Ovis aries: one gene and its partners. The protein of the gene in region 4 interacts with the protein of the main gene of each other region in a biochemical or structural test. Links are inferred from orthologs where the notes say so. Each region holds a gene or a part of one and is shown on either strand. Other genes may lie near its edges.

Evidence for each region. The genes of interacting proteins can lie anywhere in the genome.
Region 1: the proteins of MAGI1 (region 4) and FCHSD2 form a complex in vitro, tested with the Homo sapiens proteins (2 studies listed by BioGRID and IntAct, with this or other methods). The link is inferred for Ovis aries from reciprocal best matches to the Homo sapiens genes MAGI1 and FCHSD2.
Region 2: the proteins of MAGI1 (region 4) and ADRB1 interact in a test that uses a peptide from one of them, tested with the Homo sapiens proteins (2 studies listed by IntAct). The link is inferred for Ovis aries from reciprocal best matches to the Homo sapiens genes MAGI1 and ADRB1.
Region 3: the proteins of MAGI1 (region 4) and NET1 form a complex in vitro, tested with the Homo sapiens proteins (3 studies listed by BioGRID and IntAct, with this or other methods). The link is inferred for Ovis aries from reciprocal best matches to the Homo sapiens genes MAGI1 and NET1.

What each region holds. Positions count from the first base shown.
Region 1 is NC_056068.1:51,337,004-51,341,135, forward strand, and holds the start of FCHSD2 (F-BAR and double SH3 domains protein 2), read right to left. Parts: upstream 2,801-4,132; 5' UTR 2,288-2,800; coding exon 2,267-2,287; exon of another isoform or gene 1,670-2,266; intron 558-1,669; coding exon 460-557; intron 1-459. UniProt on the Homo sapiens protein: Adapter protein that plays a role in endocytosis via clathrin-coated pits. Contributes to the internalization of cell surface receptors, such as integrin ITGB1 and transferrin receptor.
Region 2 is NC_056075.1:34,061,430-34,065,470, reverse strand, and holds ADRB1 (beta-1 adrenergic receptor), read right to left. Parts: upstream 2,801-4,041; 5' UTR 2,686-2,800; coding exon 1,141-2,685; 3' UTR 52-1,140; downstream 1-51. UniProt on the Homo sapiens protein: Beta-adrenergic receptors mediate the catecholamine-induced activation of adenylate cyclase through the action of G proteins. This receptor binds epinephrine and norepinephrine with approximately equal affinity.
Region 3 is NC_056066.1:42,755,384-42,759,457, forward strand, and holds the start of NET1 (neuroepithelial cell-transforming gene 1 protein), read right to left. Parts: upstream 2,801-4,074; 5' UTR 2,669-2,800; coding exon 2,541-2,668; intron 1,757-2,540; exon of another isoform or gene 1,673-1,756; coding exon of another isoform or gene 1,620-1,672; intron 1-1,619. UniProt on the Homo sapiens protein: Acts as a guanine nucleotide exchange factor (GEF) for RhoA GTPase. May be involved in activation of the SAPK/JNK pathway Stimulates genotoxic stress-induced RHOB activity in breast cancer cells leading to their cell death.
Region 4 is NC_056072.1:35,499,250-35,503,279, forward strand, and holds the start of MAGI1 (membrane-associated guanylate kinase, WW and PDZ domain-containing protein 1), read left to right. Parts: upstream 1-1,230; 5' UTR 1,231-1,834; coding exon 1,835-2,147; intron 2,148-4,030. UniProt on the Homo sapiens protein: Plays a role in coupling actin fibers to cell junctions in endothelial cells, via its interaction with AMOTL2 and CDH5. May regulate acid-induced ASIC3 currents by modulating its expression at the cell surface.

The sequences.
Region 1 (4,132 bases), on a different chromosome or scaffold from region 4:
ATCCGATAAACACATGTCCCACTAAATTTAATGTTCAAACTTATATTTGTCATGTTCTAATAATCACCTGAAGTTGACTGGCTCACCCCCAGATATTAATCATTAACCAGGTGTCAGTTTAAAATTCCATGTGAAATCGTTAAGGTCAATAAATGCAAAAAGGTCAATTTACTAGAAGGATTAAATAAGAGTTTCCATTTCACTGTTTATATAATTTGATAAATTTGTAAGAACTTTTTTTTCATAAAAGTATGTGAACGTTATAGGTTTCTCCACTGAAGGAAAAAAAGTTTGTATTGTGTTAGTTCCAGTTACAACTTCTAGCTGAGTTAAAGCTCTAACAGCCTTAAAGCAGGAAATCCAAAAGGAAATTCCATCATCAGTTCCTGGGGCTTGGTAACTCAAAGGTTCTTTGAAACAGAGATACAGAAGTTCTCCAACTATTTACTATAACCTTACCTCATATCTTCAAGCAAATCACATTCTGCTTGATGTTTGGCTTGAAGTTTTGTCATCTGTTCAACTTGAATGTTTTTCAGTTCCTGTGTAACTTTCACCTGAAATATACCATATATTTATAAGGGCTTAACACAACTTTAAAAAAAATTATTTAAGGAAAATATGTAATACTTGTTAGAATATATAACTGTTACTTGCCTCTCCTCTGAGGACCACAATCCTGTTATTAGCCACCTAATTTTGTTCACTGCAGATACTTAATTTTAACAACTAGCCAAAATAACCTGAAGCAGAAGCTAAATGAAAGTACATGAGTATAAAAATTACAGATTAAAAAGGTGCAAAATAAACTGCCAGTCGTTTCATTTCATGTACAATACCTATCTAGGTCTTCTTAGAGCTTTAAAAGCTCCTGTTCTTCCAAACAGGATTCAAATGTATTAACCATAAGGAGAGGTGAGCAGAGCATAGATGGGAGAAGGGGACATAACGAATGCCTAATATCTAATGACTGAAATTTACACAATCAACTACAAAAATTATTCTATAATGGCTAGGAGAAGCACACTCTCTGGATGGCGCCCTTGCTGACAGCACAGCAAATCAAAATCTCTTGTTCACAAAGAAGAAAGCAAAAGTGACCTGCCAGCTTATGCAGAGCTTTTAAGCCACCCCAGCAAGCCGGTTCCCGTGGCATTTCCACTTCAAACAGAACAGTAAATGCAAATTGGCCAGTGCCTCGCCCGCCAGGCCAGGATTCAGGTTACAGTGGGCCTGGAACCCTCGCCGCCACCGGAGCAGGGCTACCGGAGGGCTATGTGTGAAAAGAAAAAGACTCACTTGGAGAACCCAGGTGAGAAACAGAAAAGAAGAGGGAGCAGACACGAGTGAGTTAGGCATTCACCAAATGTTTGCCCACAAGGGGAGGACAGAACAGGCTCCTCCACCCAGCGCCCTGAGTAGACACTCAGTAACCATCTGCAAGATTGAAACGACAAGGACACAGCCTCGCTCCCTGGGAAAAAAACTGGGGAAGGACACTGAAACAGTTCTGGAAGGGCTGAAGCTGCTGACAAGCCCGGAGCACTCGTCACTCCCACCCCAAGCCCAGATCGCGGCGAACACGCCACGCACCGCCCGGTTCTCGCTCTCCTGGGAAGAGAATCACCACCTTCCTCTCCCCCTTGTCGGAGGGGCGGGGCAGGAACCGGGAAGAGAAAGGCAGAACCGTTCAATGCTTAATTTCTTGTTTTCCCCTGGGGTGGGGTGGCTATTGCGACTTCTTTTCGGTCGCCGGGTGGGGAAAGCGGGCCAAATCTTAAGGCGAGGCTGGTAACAAATGTCCTGTAAATCCGCAAATGCGCGAGGGTGGCAACAAGCGAGAGGGGGGCTCAAACCTGGTGCAGACTAAACAATCACACAAACACAAGGCTCTGCAAAGCTGCGGGGGCTCCCCCACCTCCCCTCGGTGAAGCCCCGGAGAAAGCACTTTGCAGAGAGCAGCACTGCCATGCGCGCTCGCTCACACACACACACACGCACGCACACTCGAAACTCCTGTGAAATGTCTAGGTTGGGGGGTGGTCTCCTGTGCGGTGAAGGGGACGAGCCACGGCCGCCCCTCCGCTGCGAAGGCACCAAACACACGCGCCCCCCTCCAGGAACCGGCGGCAAGTGAGTGACAAGCCCGAGACGACGACGGTCACGGCCCCCTGCGCAAAGGGGGAGGGGGCGCCGCGGTGCCCCAGCCGCGTTCCTTGTACGCATCCCCGCCCAAAACCTCAAAGACCCCCAGCTGCATCCTCACCTTCCTCGGCGGCGGCTGCATGATGCTGAAGGGACATCAATCCTCCTCCCACGGCGGCGTAAGTGAGGAGAGGAAAAGGAGGGTCGAGAGGAGAGGGCCGCCCCGGGAGCGGGCGTGTGCTTGTGTGTGTGTAAGGAGAGCCTGAGAACGAAGACTCGCCCGGGAAGCTGCAAGGCCGGCGGGTGGCAGGAGAACCCGGGTCGGAGGGTGAGTGTGAAGAGAAGGAGGAGGAGCCCCGGGAGGGCCTGGGCTCTGGCGGCCCGGGGGGTGTGTGAGGCAAGGAGGCGGAGACCGCGAGGGGGCGGGGGCCCGGCTGCGGGGGCGCAGGGTCTCCCAGCGCCTCCGGAGCAGCAACCCTGCCGTCCCGTCCCCTGCCCTCCGCGCCTCCCCACCCGCCGCCGGCTCCGCGGTTCCTCACACGCGGCCCTCCCACCCCCACTAAGGCAGCCCGACCCTCTTTGCCCGGCCCCGGGAGGTGGTAGGCGGCGCCGCGCTCTGTGCTTCGGTTCCTCCACTCAGGCCGCGGGAATTTCCGGCCCCAACGCGCGGCGCAGCGCCCCACTCCGGCGGCGGAGGGGACAGCTTAGGCCACAGCCGGGCTCGAGGGGCCGGGCCAGGCTTCTGGGACGGGGGGCGGCCGCGGCTCGGGGCACCGTATCGCGGCGGGGAACGGAGGGAGCTAACGGATCGGTCGGCGAATGAGAGGGGTAACAACGCTATCGCAGCATGGAAATCCCCCCCCAGTTCTCTCCGAGAATGGCACGTTCCAAACGCCTCCGGTCCTCCCTCCCCCACAGTGGGAGCCAGCCGGGGGCTTCCCGCGCGCTTTCCCGCCTGCCCGCCGCGGTGCGCGCCTCCGGCGGGGGCGCGCACGTGGGCGGGAGAGGGCTCTGCGCCGACGCACGCGCGTAAGCCGCCGTCTTCTCCTGACGCCCACTCGTGTGTGTGAGTGTGTGTTAGTTACAATGTGGCGGGAGGGGGGTCAGGCAGTATGCCTATTTGTTTGAGGGAGTAGCAGAGTGCCTTTTTTGCTTCATGGTCCTCCAACACCCCTACCCTCTCGTGCAGATGAGCCTGGCGGGCCAAGGCACCTAGGAGCGAGCGTGGACAAGTCCTTTCGCAGCGGCCGCAGATGCCTGGTTTGGGTGAGGGCGAGGGCGACTAGTTGCCCTGCAAAGGAAAAATCGGTTGTCTGCTACAGGGCGTCCAAGTCAAAGAGCATGAGGTCGTTAAGGCCAGGACCCGCCCCATCCCCCATGTCACAGATGGAAGGCCAGAGGAGTGGAGACTTTATGAAGGTTACACAGCATCACTTCATGGGAAATAGATGAGGAAACAGTAGAAACAGTGTCAGACTTTAGTTTTGGGGGCTCCAAAATCACTGCAGATGGTGACTGCAGCCGTGAAATTAAAAGACGCTTATTCCTTGGAAGAAAAGTTATGAGCAACCTAGATAGTATATTCAAAAGCAGAGACATTACTTTGCCGACTAAGGTCCATCTAGTCAAGGCTATGGTTTTCCTGTGGTCACGTATGGATGTGAGAGTTGGACTGTGAAGAAGGCTGAGCGCCGAAGAATTGATGCTTTTGAACTGTGATGTTGGAAAAGACTCTTGAGAGTCCCTTGGACTGCAAGGAGATCCAACCAGTCCATTCTGAAGGAGATCAACCCTGGGATTTCTTTGGAAGGAATGATGCTAAAGCTGAAACTCCAGTACTTTGGCCACCTCATGCGAAGAGTTGACTCATTGGAAAAGACTCTGATGCTGGGAGGGATTGGGGGCAGGAGGAGAAGGGGACGACAGAGGATGAGATGGCTAGATGGCGTCACGGACTCGATGGACGTGAGTCTGAGTGAACTCCGGG
Region 2 (4,041 bases), on a different chromosome or scaffold from region 4:
AAGGTATTTTCCAATAAATTGCTAGCTCAATAACATAACAGACAACAGAGATAGAATCTGAATTTTATTTTAGTTTTTAAGATCTGCCCCACCCCACTCCCATTAAAAAATATTTCATTTCTTTTTGTGCAAATAACATTTTCTGTGGACTTTACAGTTCCTAATACTGTGCAAAAAAAATGCCACTTTGAATCACGGCTTTTTTGTTTTGATTTTTTGTCTATACCACATGTGCAGTAATCTGAATTGTTTTCCTTTTTTCTTTTTCCTTTTTCTGTCCTGTCTTCAATGGACAGAGTCACATGTCACGAAGGCTCAGCGCCTGGTCCTTCCAACTAGTATTGATACATAAATAAGCTGTTTAATATAAACAAGTCTCTCTATCTGGCCGTGCAATGTGCACCGTGTGAGTGAGGTAGGAACCCCTCAGCCTGACCACCGAGGAGGCGTTCAGGGACAGCCCGCTTGCCCTCCGAAAGGGAAGCAAGGTGAGGCTTGTTCCAAGAAGAGCATAAAACTTCCTGAAACGCGATTTTTGCATCCATCCTTGCCCTCGGCTTTCAGAACAGGAGAAATAATTCCTCAGAAATTAAAATGGAATTTCTCTGAAAAGCAAAAGGAAACAACGTCCTGATAAAGTGTCATTCTCTCTCCTCTCTCTCTGGCTGACCGCTTCTGTTCCCAGGAATGGGATGGAAACTAAGTCGAGAGACTTTTACCTCCTAACGCTTCCCCCTTCCCTTCCCAGTCATCGCAGAAAGTGTTAAAAGCCACGTGGCGGGGGGGCGGGGGGAGGAGGGACTCTAAAGATGCATCACACGCACACACAGAAGGCTGGACCAGAAACAGGAAAAAGAACCCCAAGAACAATCAGTAAGCCACTCTTCCACCCCTCCCCAAACTTCTCCCACCTCTCCCCAAACTTTCCTTTCTGTGCGACGGTCCGTGGCTTTCCTATTTGCCCTTGGATGATGCAGACGAGGTTCGCAGGCTTCGAGTTCACCTGCTTTCGGTCTCGAGTAAACACAGACCTCTTTCCCGGGGAAGCGGTTCAGGGGCGCCCGGGTTCTCTTGCTCCTGGAGCGCACAGCCCGCGCCCGGACTGGGGAAGCCGGGGAAGGCGGGGAGGGGCGCCCGGCCCTACACCTTGGATTCCGAGGCGCAGCCCGGGCGGCTTGGCTCGTCCGGGCTCGAGTCGCTGTTCGCCGCCGCCCCGCCGTTGTAGCCAGCCCAGGGCTGCAGCAGGCGCACGGGCGGCGCGGCCCCGACGTCGTCTTCGTCGTCGTCGTCGTCGTCGTCCGAGGCGGCCCCGGGAGACGGCGACGGCCGGGCCACCGCCAGGCAGCCCGCGGCGCGCGGCGGGTCCCCGGCGGCCCCGTGGCTCCCGCAGGCGGCCCGGCGCGCGCAGCAGAGCAGGCGCTGGAAGGCCTTGCGGAAGTCGGGGCTGCGGCAGTAGATGATGGGGTTGAAGGCCGAGTTGGCGTAGCCCAGCCAGTTGAAGAAGACGAAGAGGCGGTCGGGCACCAGGTCGCGGTGGAAGGCCTTCACCACGTTGGCCAGGAAGAAGGGCAGCCAGCAGAGCGTGAACACGCCCATGATGATGCCCAGCGTCTTGAGGGCCTTCTGCTCGCGCAGGGCCACGAGGCGCGAGGGCCGCCGCTTGTTGGCGCGCCCGTTGGCCACCGCGGCGGCAGGGAGCGGCGGCCCGGGCGAGGGCGCGGGCGAGGGCAGCCGCGCGGGGCCGCTGAGGAAGCGGCGCTCGCAGCTGTCGATCTTCTTCACCTGCTTCTGGGCCTCGCGGAACACCCGCAGGTACACGAAGGCCATGATGCACAGGGGCACGTAGAAGGAGACGACGGAAGAGGTGATCGCGTAGCCCTCGTTGATGATGAAGTCGCAGCACTCGGGGTCGTTGTAGCACCGGCTCGCCTTGGCGTCCTTGTCCCGCCACCACTGCATGAAGATGGGCAGGAAGGACACCAGCGCCGAGATGGCCCACACGGTGCACACGAGGGCCCGCGCCCGCGCGCGGGTCAGCAGGCTCTGGTAGCGGAAGGGCGACGTGATGGCGAGGTAGCGGTCCAGGGCGATGACACACAGGGTCTCGATGCTGGCCGTCACGCACAGCACGTCCACCGAGGTCCAGAGCTCGCAGAAGAAGGAGCCATACTCCCAGCGGCCCCACACCACGATTGTGGCTCCAAACGGCACTACCAGCAGACCCATGACCAGGTCTGCGCTGGCCAGCGACATGATGAAGAGGTTGGTGAGCGTCTGCAGCCGCGGAGTCTTGGCGATGGCCACGATCACCAGCACGTTGCCCGCCACGATGAGCAGCACAATGAATGCCATCAGCAGGCCCATGCCGACCGTCCACTGCTGCGACAGCAGCGGGGGTCCCTCGCTGGCCGAGGTCAGCAGCGAGGCGGGCGGCGACGCGGGAACTAGCAGCCGCGCCGCCGTGGCCGCGCCGTCGGGGACCGGCGCGGCCGATGACAGGTTGCAGGGCTCGGAGGCGCCCAGGGCGAGCGCCCCCGCGCCCATGCCGAGCTGCGGAGGCCGGGGGAGAGGGGTGTGGCGGAGTTGGGCCGCGGTTGGGGAACCCCCCCAGAGGCCCGAACGGCGGGGCGCGCGGAGGGAGGTCGCGGCCAGGTCAGCGCAGCCGCGGCGCGGGGCCGGAGGCATGGGCGCCGGGCGCCTTCCCCGCCGGAGCCGTGCGCTGTCGCCGCCGCCGCCGCCGCCGCTGCTGCTGGAGCCGCTGTCGCTGCTGGAACAGCTGCCGGGACCTCAGCATGTTTCTGAGCTCGCGGAGCCCGCAGCCCCGGCACCCAGCACCCACCCCACCCGGCTCCCACTCCCCCGAGCCAACCCCCGGGGCCTCGCGTCAGGCTCCTGCAGCCAATCCTGGCGAAGGCACGCCCCTCTCTGGTTCCCCCCCACCCCCACCCGGCCCCGCCAACTCCTAGCACCCCGCCTCCACCGGCGGTTCTGCGGCTCTAGGGAGTCCGGGGCAGATCGCCAAGCAAGCCCCTCCCCAGCGCTCGCGGGTTCCTGCCCGCGCGTCCCTTCCAGAGCCCGCTTGGCTCCAGTGCCCAGTTCCCCTCGGTTCCCAGTCGCGCCCGGCTTCCACCCTGCCCCCTCCCGCGGCCCCCAATCTCCCCTCTCCTGCGCCCTGTTTGCCTCCGGCGTTTGCTTTCCGCTGCGCCCCGGCTCTACCCGCCGCCACCCATCCCATCTACCTCCAGTGCCCAGGTTTCCTGCAGAGCAGAGCTCACGCGCCCTTTAGCAGGAAGGGGACTTCGGTGTTCTCGAAACACCGGAGCGCCTTGGACGGTCTGTTCGCTGGGGGTGGAGGAGTCTGGCTGCAAGACTGTTTCTTGTATTGGGCAGCCTAGGAGGGTGTGTGTAAAGCCCTTCCTCTGTCAAGAGGAGTCCCAGCCAGCTCGCGTCCTGCCAGCTCGGGGATCGGATCGGAGGCGGGTGTGAGCGGTTAGAAGAAACTTTCCAGCGAGCGCCTTGCTAAAGCAGAGCGCGCATCTGTCAGGAACGCTCCCCGGGAGCTATTCTTGCAAGAAGCTTCTGTCGTTCCAGGGCAGCAGATGCAGAAAGCAAAGGAAGGTTTGTGCAGCTGACAGCTAATGCTGAGGACCAGTTGGAAAAATACACACTCCCAGGTCCCAGCTGATGGATGTGTGAGTATGGTGCAACGGTGTGTGCCGGTAATGTAAAGAGAGAGAGAGGCTTAAGGACAGGCATGTTAGAGTAAATGACACCGCCACGGAAGCTAGAACACGTTTAATTACTTTTCAGACTTTTCATGTTCAGTAATAACACCTGGATTTTGTGTTCTGTTACTCACGTGATTGTATGACTTGAGCTGGGTCAGTGCAAACAAAAAAGGTACATTGGCTTTGGGTGACACAGTAGTGAACTGAGATTTCAAATTTCTTGGTCTGCTGCGTTGCCTTCTCCTTTGCCCAAGTTCCCAGATTCTCAAAACTCTAGGATTAATTTTGGAGGGATGAGAGAAGAAAACATATA
Region 3 (4,074 bases), on a different chromosome or scaffold from region 4:
TCTCAAACTGCAGTAACCTCTTCATTAGTCTCCCTGATTTTCTCCCTGCCACGTAACAGACCAATCCTTTTAAACTACACATCACAGAATTTTCTATTGTCTCCCAACCATAGATTCAAATTTGAAATCTTTCTGGTGGTTGGCCATGTACTACCCGATCTGACCCAGGCATCTCTGTGACCTCGCTGTCCACCTTTCTCACTTTAATTTGCTCCACTCCAGTTACCGTGGCTTCTCTACAGTCCTTGAACACACCGAACAGGATTCTACTTTGAAGCCCTGTACTTACTGCCTTTCTCCCCACATCTTCACATGGTGGAGTTCCTTAATTCCTTCACATCTCTGCTTAAATGGCATCATTACCATGGAGGAGAACTGTTTGATCTTTTAAAAATAGCAAAACTGAACCAATACAGTATTGTAAAGTAAAATAAAGTGAAAAAAAAAAAAAAAAGGCAAAACTGCCCCTCTCCTTATCTCTGCCTGTCCTGCTGCTGCTGCTGCTGCTAAGTTGCTTCAGTCATGTCCGACTCTGTGTGACCCCAGACGGCAGCCCAACAGACTCTCCCGTCCCTGGGATTCTCCAGGCAAGAACACTGGAGTGGGTTGCCATTTCCTTCTCCAATGCATGAAAGTGAAAAGTGAAAATGAAGTCGCTCACTCGTGTCCAACTCCCAGCAACCCCATGGACTGCAGCCCACCAGGCTCCTCCGTCCATGGGATTTTCCAGGCAAGAGCACTGGAGTGGGGTGCCACTGCCTTCTCCGATGCCTGCCCTTACCATACCTTAATTCTCCTCACAAGATGACCACCTGGTATTTCATTATCGTCTTTCATTCCTAACCAGAATGTAAGCTTTATGAGAGCAGAGACTTCATCTGTTCACCAAAATCTCTTAATATCTGCAACACTGTGAAGATCTAGGAAAGTGCAAGTGTTAGTTGCTCAGTCGTGTCCGACTCTCTGTGACCCCCACAGACTGTAGCCCTCCAGGCTCCTCTGTCCATGTGATTCTCCAGGCAGGAATACTGGAGTGGGTTGCCATGCCCTCCTCTGGGGATCTTTCCAGGCAAATGCTCAAAAGCTTTATTGAATGAACACAGAATGAATTTATCACTGTTCTTCTTCCCTTCACTACATGGTCCTGATTCTCCTATTTCTCAGTCTCTGGGATGATGACGTCTTTCTGCTTTTTCACTACCTCTTAAATATAAGTTGTAATCAGTATAAAGGTTTCAGGCAAGGATTATCCTAATCTTCAAAATAAAAAATCAATATCTAATGAAAAAGTCTAATTCTCTGCACGATGACTTATTAACTGTGAGTTTACAAATGCTCTGTCCATGAAATTAAGGTGTTTTCCTTTCTCTGAAAAAATGACTGGCACATCCAAGCATGACTGGAATGTAACTTCAGTAAGGAACTGTAGTTTAAGAATAAGTAGTGGACCACAGGGACTTCTGAAAAGAGAAGCAGATGTGGAATTACTGATAAAAATCAGCAAATAACAGTTTGTTTCTAACTCCTTGCATACAGGCTCACACAATGACCTCACTGAATTGCACAACTTGGAGGAAGTGGATACTATTTCAACCCTATATGACAGATGAGGACCCAACCTTAGAGATGAAAGGTCCAACGGCTGGTCACAGGAACCCAGGGCCTGCAGCATCCTGACGGGAAAGCAATGCCCCCAGCCCTCGTTCACCGCTCGCCTCGCAGACACCGCCTCTGACACCCTCGGCCGGTGTCCTCCCTTCGCAGACGCACAGGACAGAATGAAATGTGTCAATAGCTAAAAAGTCCAAGATGGGCCTCTGCGTCCTCTTTACCCGGGAGGCTGGGGTCCTGAGCTGCGCCCTGATCACCGACTTGGTCAGAGGCTCGAAAGGAGGGACTGTGACCTCGGCGAAACTCTTCATTTTAATGCTTGCTTTTAGGCTAAAAGTTTGGTGTCTGGTAGAAGTCCTCGGGGGCTTCCCTGGTGGCACAATGGTAAAAGAATCCGCCTGTCAATGCAGGAGATGCTGGCTTGATGCCTGGGCTGGGAGGATCCCCCGGAGAAGAGAATGGATCACAAGAATCCCAGGATTCTTGTCTGGGGAATCCTTGGACAAGAGGAGCCTGGCGGTCTGCGGTCCATGGGGTCGTAAGGGGTCGGACACGACCGAGCGACTGAACAAAAGAAACTCTCCGGCTCCAGGAACGATTCCAGTCCTCTTAGCCAGCAGCTCTCGGTGGGCATTTAGGAACCGCCCCCGCCACCCCCAAATCCAGCCCGAAACCTGCTGGGTGTGCAGAGAGGACCTCCACCCCCTGAGCGGGGAGGGGAGACGAGAGGGAGGAAGGAGAGGAACGGGAGGTAAAAATAAAGGAGGGTCAGGCGATCGGAAGAGGGGGACGAGGGGAGAGAGGAGGAAGCAGAGGAGAGCAGGCAGCCCTGCTCTCCCCTACCCCCGGCTCCTTCCCTGCCCGCCACCCCCTCCCCAGCCTCGGGCCCCACAACCCGAGTCCCCAGGCGCCGTTCACCCCGCGCTCACCTGCCGTCCGGGCCGGGCCCGGGGGTGTCGGCCGCTGGCTCCGCGGCGCCGCCGGCGTTGAGCCCCGAGGCCCGGCGGCTTCGCCTCCGCGGCCGGCTCTGCTCCTGGGCCTCCAGCTCGGGCTCCATGGCGCGGAGGGGGCGGCGCGGTGGCTGGGTGCCCGGGAGGCCCGCTGGGAGCGGCACGGCGCCCGGCCTCTGCGGCCCGAAGACGGGTTCCTGTCAGGACGGCGCCGCCACCTCCGCCGCCGCCATCTTCCGGGGTTTGAAAATGGCGGCCGTGCGGACACCAGCCAATCAGGGGACGCGGCGCGGTTGCTAGGATCGTGGAGTCCCGCCCCTCTCCTTCCTTAAGGCGCTAAACTGTTCGGAAGCTGTGAGGGGGAGCGTGGTCCACAGGGTCGCCCGGCTGATGAGCCAGAGGCCTGGGGTCTAGTTCCTAAATCGCCAAGGCCCGATTACTAGTGTACAGTTCATTAGGACTTTCACCACAAGTCAAGGGAAACTGGGAAGCATTTTCAGCTCAGTTCAGTCGCTCAGACCTGTCCTACTCTTCGTGACCCCATGGACTGCAGCACGCCAGGCTTCCCTGTCCTTCACTATCTCCCAGAGTTTACTCAAACTCATGTCCATTGAGTTGGTGATGCCATCCAACTATCTCATCCTCTGTCGTCCTCTTCTCCTCCTGCCTTCAATCTTTCCCAGCATCAAGGTCTTTTCCGATGAGTCAGTTCTTTGCATCGAGTGGCCAAGCGTTGGAATTTCAGCTTCAGCATCAGCCCTTCCAATGAATATTCAGGACCTATTTCCTTTAGGATGGACTGGATGGATCTCCTTACAGTCCAAAGGACTCTCAAGAGTCTTCTCTGAAATCAAAGTTTAGAAGCACAATTCTTCATTGCTCAGCTTTCTTTACAGTCCAGCTGTCACATCCATACATGACTACTGGAAAAACCATAGCCTTGACAAGACGGACCTTAGTTTGCAAAGTAATGTCTCTGCTTTTTAACATGCTGTCTAGTTTGGTCATAGCTTTTCTTTCATGGAGCAAGTGTCTTTTAATTTCATGGCTGCAGTCACCATCTGCTATGATTTTGGAGCCCAGGAAAATAAAGTCTCTCACTGTTTCCACTGTTTCCTCATCTATTTGCCATGAAGTGATGAAAGTGGATGCCATGATCTTATTTTCTGAATGTTGAATTTTAAGCCAACTTTTTCACTCTCCTCTTTCACTTTCATCAAGAGGCTCTTTAGCTCTTCTTCGCTTTCTGCCATAAGGGTGGTGTCATCTGCATATCTGAGGTTATTGATATTTCTCCTGGCAATCTTGATTCCAGCTTGTGATTCATATAGCCTGGCATTTCACATGATTTATGCTGCATATAAGTTAAATAAGCAGGGTGACAGTATGCAGCCTTGACGTACTCCTTTCCCGATTTGGAACCAGTCTGTTGTTCCATGTCCATTTCTAACCATTGATTCTTGACCTGCATACAGATTTCTCAGGAGGCAGGTCAGGTGCTCTGGTATGCCCA
Region 4 (4,030 bases):
TGACCTCTGCGGCACCCCGTCCTTTCGGAATCCTTTACACTCACCTCCCTTATTTAGCACTTGAAATCTCTCTTGTGACCCAAGATGGATAAATAAGTTATAAATCACTGAGGAAAAGAAAATGTTTAGGAGACTATCGCCCAGGCCGATTGGGGAGTATTTAGGGAGGGTAGCCTTGCCGGTGCAGGATATTCTTTCTGTCCGCAGCCCCCGAGCACGTTCCGAAACCTAGCAGGGACATTAGCTGGCTCTACCCCCGCCCTCGGGCGGTGCCCGAGGCAACAGCAACTCCAGGCTGTGAATTCCGAGAGGTGGCTGCCGCGCCCACGCCCCCGCGGGCGCCAGGACTTGGGTGCAGATCCCAGACCCAGGAGTGATCCTTATCTCCTGGCCCCGGGGCGGGTCCAAAGGCTGCCCAGCTTAGCCAGGAACTTGAGTCCAGGACAGACGCCTGGTTCCAGAGGTCTCTGGCCGCCAGTTTTAAAGAGCTAGACCCTTTTCGGTTGAAGACCCCAAGCCTCTCTTGCTTTTAGGCTTCTTTCCCTCGCCTTATACTTTATCTGCGTCCAGAAAAGTTGGCCCTAAAGTTTAAGGATGCAGATAAGTGTGTGTATACGTGTGTGGGCGTGTGACGGATCCCATTTGGGGGACCACCACGGCCCCCCCTCCCCAGGGTCGCAGAGGCTGGGGCACACCCTACTCAAAGACCAGAACCCGCCCTCACAGTGCAGGTTGGGGGGAAGCCGGGCAGGCGCACTCCTCTGGGTTGGGGTCAGGGTATTAGAGGGAACTGCGGCGGGGGGTGGGCTGGGTGACGGACAGCGTGGCCAGCCACTGGCCGAGGGCGGTAAGGAAGCTTAGGCCGGCGTGTGTGCGTGCGTGTGTGCGTGAGTGTGAGCGCGAGGGTGAGTGTGCGCCTCCCCAACCCCCACCTGTTTGAAATGGTTTTAAAATACCCAAGCAGATTGCCCATGTTTTTAAGTTGCAGTCAGTTGGAGTAAAACACTTCCTCCTCTCCCAGACCCCCGAAGGGGCTATGCAGAGTCGTGAGCACTGAAATAAAAGTAGGAATGAGAAGGGTGTGTGAAGGGGGAGAAAAGTGGCTGATCCTGGAGAAGTCGGACTTAGGACCCAACGGGAAGCACATTGGAATCTCTCACTTCGGGAAGGCGGGGTGGGGCGGGCCGGCCGGCAGGCGGTCGCGGGGCGCATGCGCGCGCGTCTCCTCTTGCCGGCCGCTGCGCTCGGCGGCGCGGAATAGAATGAACTGTAACAAAACAAGCCGAGCCTTTGTATCTGCTTAAAGGGGACGCAGGCACTTCCCTCCTGTCCCCCCCGCCCCCGCTCAGCTACCGCGTCTCCAGGGCTCCCAGCAACTGCCTAGAAGGGCTTCCCTCACCCTCAGAAACTGCCCGCCAGCGAGGAAAGGCGACCCAGGCGGGAGGCAAAGAGGAGACACCGCATTTCTAAGAGGCAAGAAAGAAAGGAAGGAAAAAAAAAAATAATCCAAGCTGCGCAGAGTGGACTCTGGTCCCAGAGAGCACGGTCGGGCGCCGGAACGTGGACCGAGAAGCACCGGAATGCAAACAAAGCTCGCGGGCGCCTGTGCAGGGCTCGCGGGGAAGCCCAGAAAGTTTGTTTTATGATGGCTTGAGTGAGCGAGTGTGTGCAAGGGAGCGAGGCTGCCAAGTTTCTCTCTCCCGCTGCGTTGTTTGTGGGGGGAGATGTCTCTCCCATGAACCAGCAGGGGCTTGGGGGCTTGTGCTGTGGGGGGCACCTGTCTCTCATTTTATCATTATTTTTTTTGGCGGGCGTAGTAGGGGTGTAACTCATCATGTCGAAAGTGATCCAGAAGAAGAACCACTGGACTAGCAGGGTTCACGAATGCACCGTAAAACGGGGACCCCAGGGAGAGCTGGGGGTGACGGTGCTGGGGGGCGCGGAGAACGGAGAGTTTCCGTATGTCGGAGCGGTGACGGCTACCGAAGCGGCGGGGCTTCCCGGCGGCGGCGAGGGCCCTCGGCTGAGCGAGGGCGAGTTGCTACTGGAGGTGCAGGGGATCCGGGTGTCCGGCTTGCCCCGCTATGACGTACTGGGAGTCATCGACAGCTGCAAGGAGGCCGTCACCTTCAAAGCCGTCAGACAAGGTAAGTCGGGCCGCGCCTCCTGGAGGCGCCCCCAGAAAAGAACCGGCCTGAGAAGTCTCCCCCCCGCCCCCCTTCCGATTTCCCGCTTTTCTTCTGCGAACGCGGCGTAGGGGCGATGTTGAGGCCGTGTGCCCAGTGATGGTGAAATACACCAAGTTGTTGAGAGGCTGTGGGTTGCTTGCCCACCTGCGTTGGGAAGAGGGGCTTGGGTTAGCTCGGGGAAGCGCAGAGATTTTTCCCTGGCCCGGTTTGCTAACCTGTTATCTCTGCAACCAAGCGCAGCAGTGGCTTGCCTGCACCGGGAGGAGAGTTGGGGAACTGAGGCAGGGGCAAAGTGGACGCTCTCCTGGCTCCCTGGGCGAGTGTTGCAGCGGGCGCAGCTACTGTGTTCTTTGATCTCTTATTTGTTTTCAGACCTAGAGAATGGGTATGAAGGAGGTGAGGGTCTTTGATTGTTGGACATCCTTAATCAAAAAATCAGCATCACCCCGTGACCGGCCAGGTGGGCTAGGGCATCACCACCTTTCAGTCCTAAAGCTTGCAGCTTGAAGATCTTGCATTCACCCCACAGCTGGATGACGCATGTGTCTCAACCCGTGTGGCCTGGCCCCAGACTTTTGGGTGGCGTGGGGGGAGAGAATAGAGAGGGTATTTCAGCGCCATTCAAGCCCGAGTTTATACTGCCACCAACATCACCACCATCCCCATCACTGCAACCATCGTCATCATCCCTGTGAAGATGATTATAGCTGCTGTTTCTTATTCACTTATTATGTGTCAGGTTCTATGTAAAATGCTTTCCTTGCACTCTTTTGTTCTGATGCACAACAATTCTGAGAGCGAGTGTTTCTTCTAAACCCCCTTATGTTACCGATAAGGAAGCTGGGACTGACATTGTTTCATTTACTGATATTGGTTCAGTTACTTGCCCAAGGTCACACAGATGCCAAGAGTGAGGGTTTGAAAATCCTTGCTGCAGAGCCTTAACCACCAAGGAGGAAGAGGATGAGTGTGGGAGACCTGAGGGGTGCACTTAAGAGAAGGGAGTGGAAGCAAATTCACCTCTGGGAAGCTTGGAGAGGAGTGATATGGCTGCTGGTTGCGGGGAGTCCCTTGCATCTTAGTTTGGTATAGGCTCAGGGCTGTCCCTGAGTAGAGAAGTAGAGAAGGAATGGATTCCCTTAAAGGGGTCCCTTGTATGACCAAGCACCGTGATGCAGGTTCTTCCCTGGTTGAGCCCTGGTGAAAAGTTCACACATGTGCCTGCGTGCTTGAAAGGGCAAGCAGCAGCTGGAGGACTGTGTCAGAGGAAAGGAGGGCTAGGCTGAGCTAGTCCTCTTTTGGAAACAGGCCTGTTCCAGATGAAGTGGAGGAGGGGGACAGGGAGAAGAGACGGGCCTTTTGGTAGCTTTGGGAGCTGAGGGACTGACAGTTATGGAAATCTCCTTCCATTTGTGTCCTCATTATCTGCTTGCACACCTCCTCCAAGAAGCCTTCAGGCACCCTGCCAGGATGAAGAAATCAGCGTTCCTCTGGACTCTCCTAAATGTGTGTCTTGTCAGTTTTCTGCTTATTCTGAACTATGCGTTAGATCCCTTCCCTTCTTTCCATACAAGGTGGTAAGCTCATTGAAAGGAGAGAATATGCCTCATTGACTGCACACCACCTCAGCTTTGCTTAAGGTCCAACACCTTGTCTCACCTGGAAATATGTCTCCCGTTATCTGTAAACTGGCTGTTTTGTATTACATAAACTTATAAAGGGTGCAGAATAGTGCCTGACACATAATAAGTGCTCAGTAAAGACCAGCTATTATTGTTATGTTTCAAGTGAAGTTGGGGCAGTTATTTATTTCTATGTCTAGCTTTTAAGTTTAGCTTTAA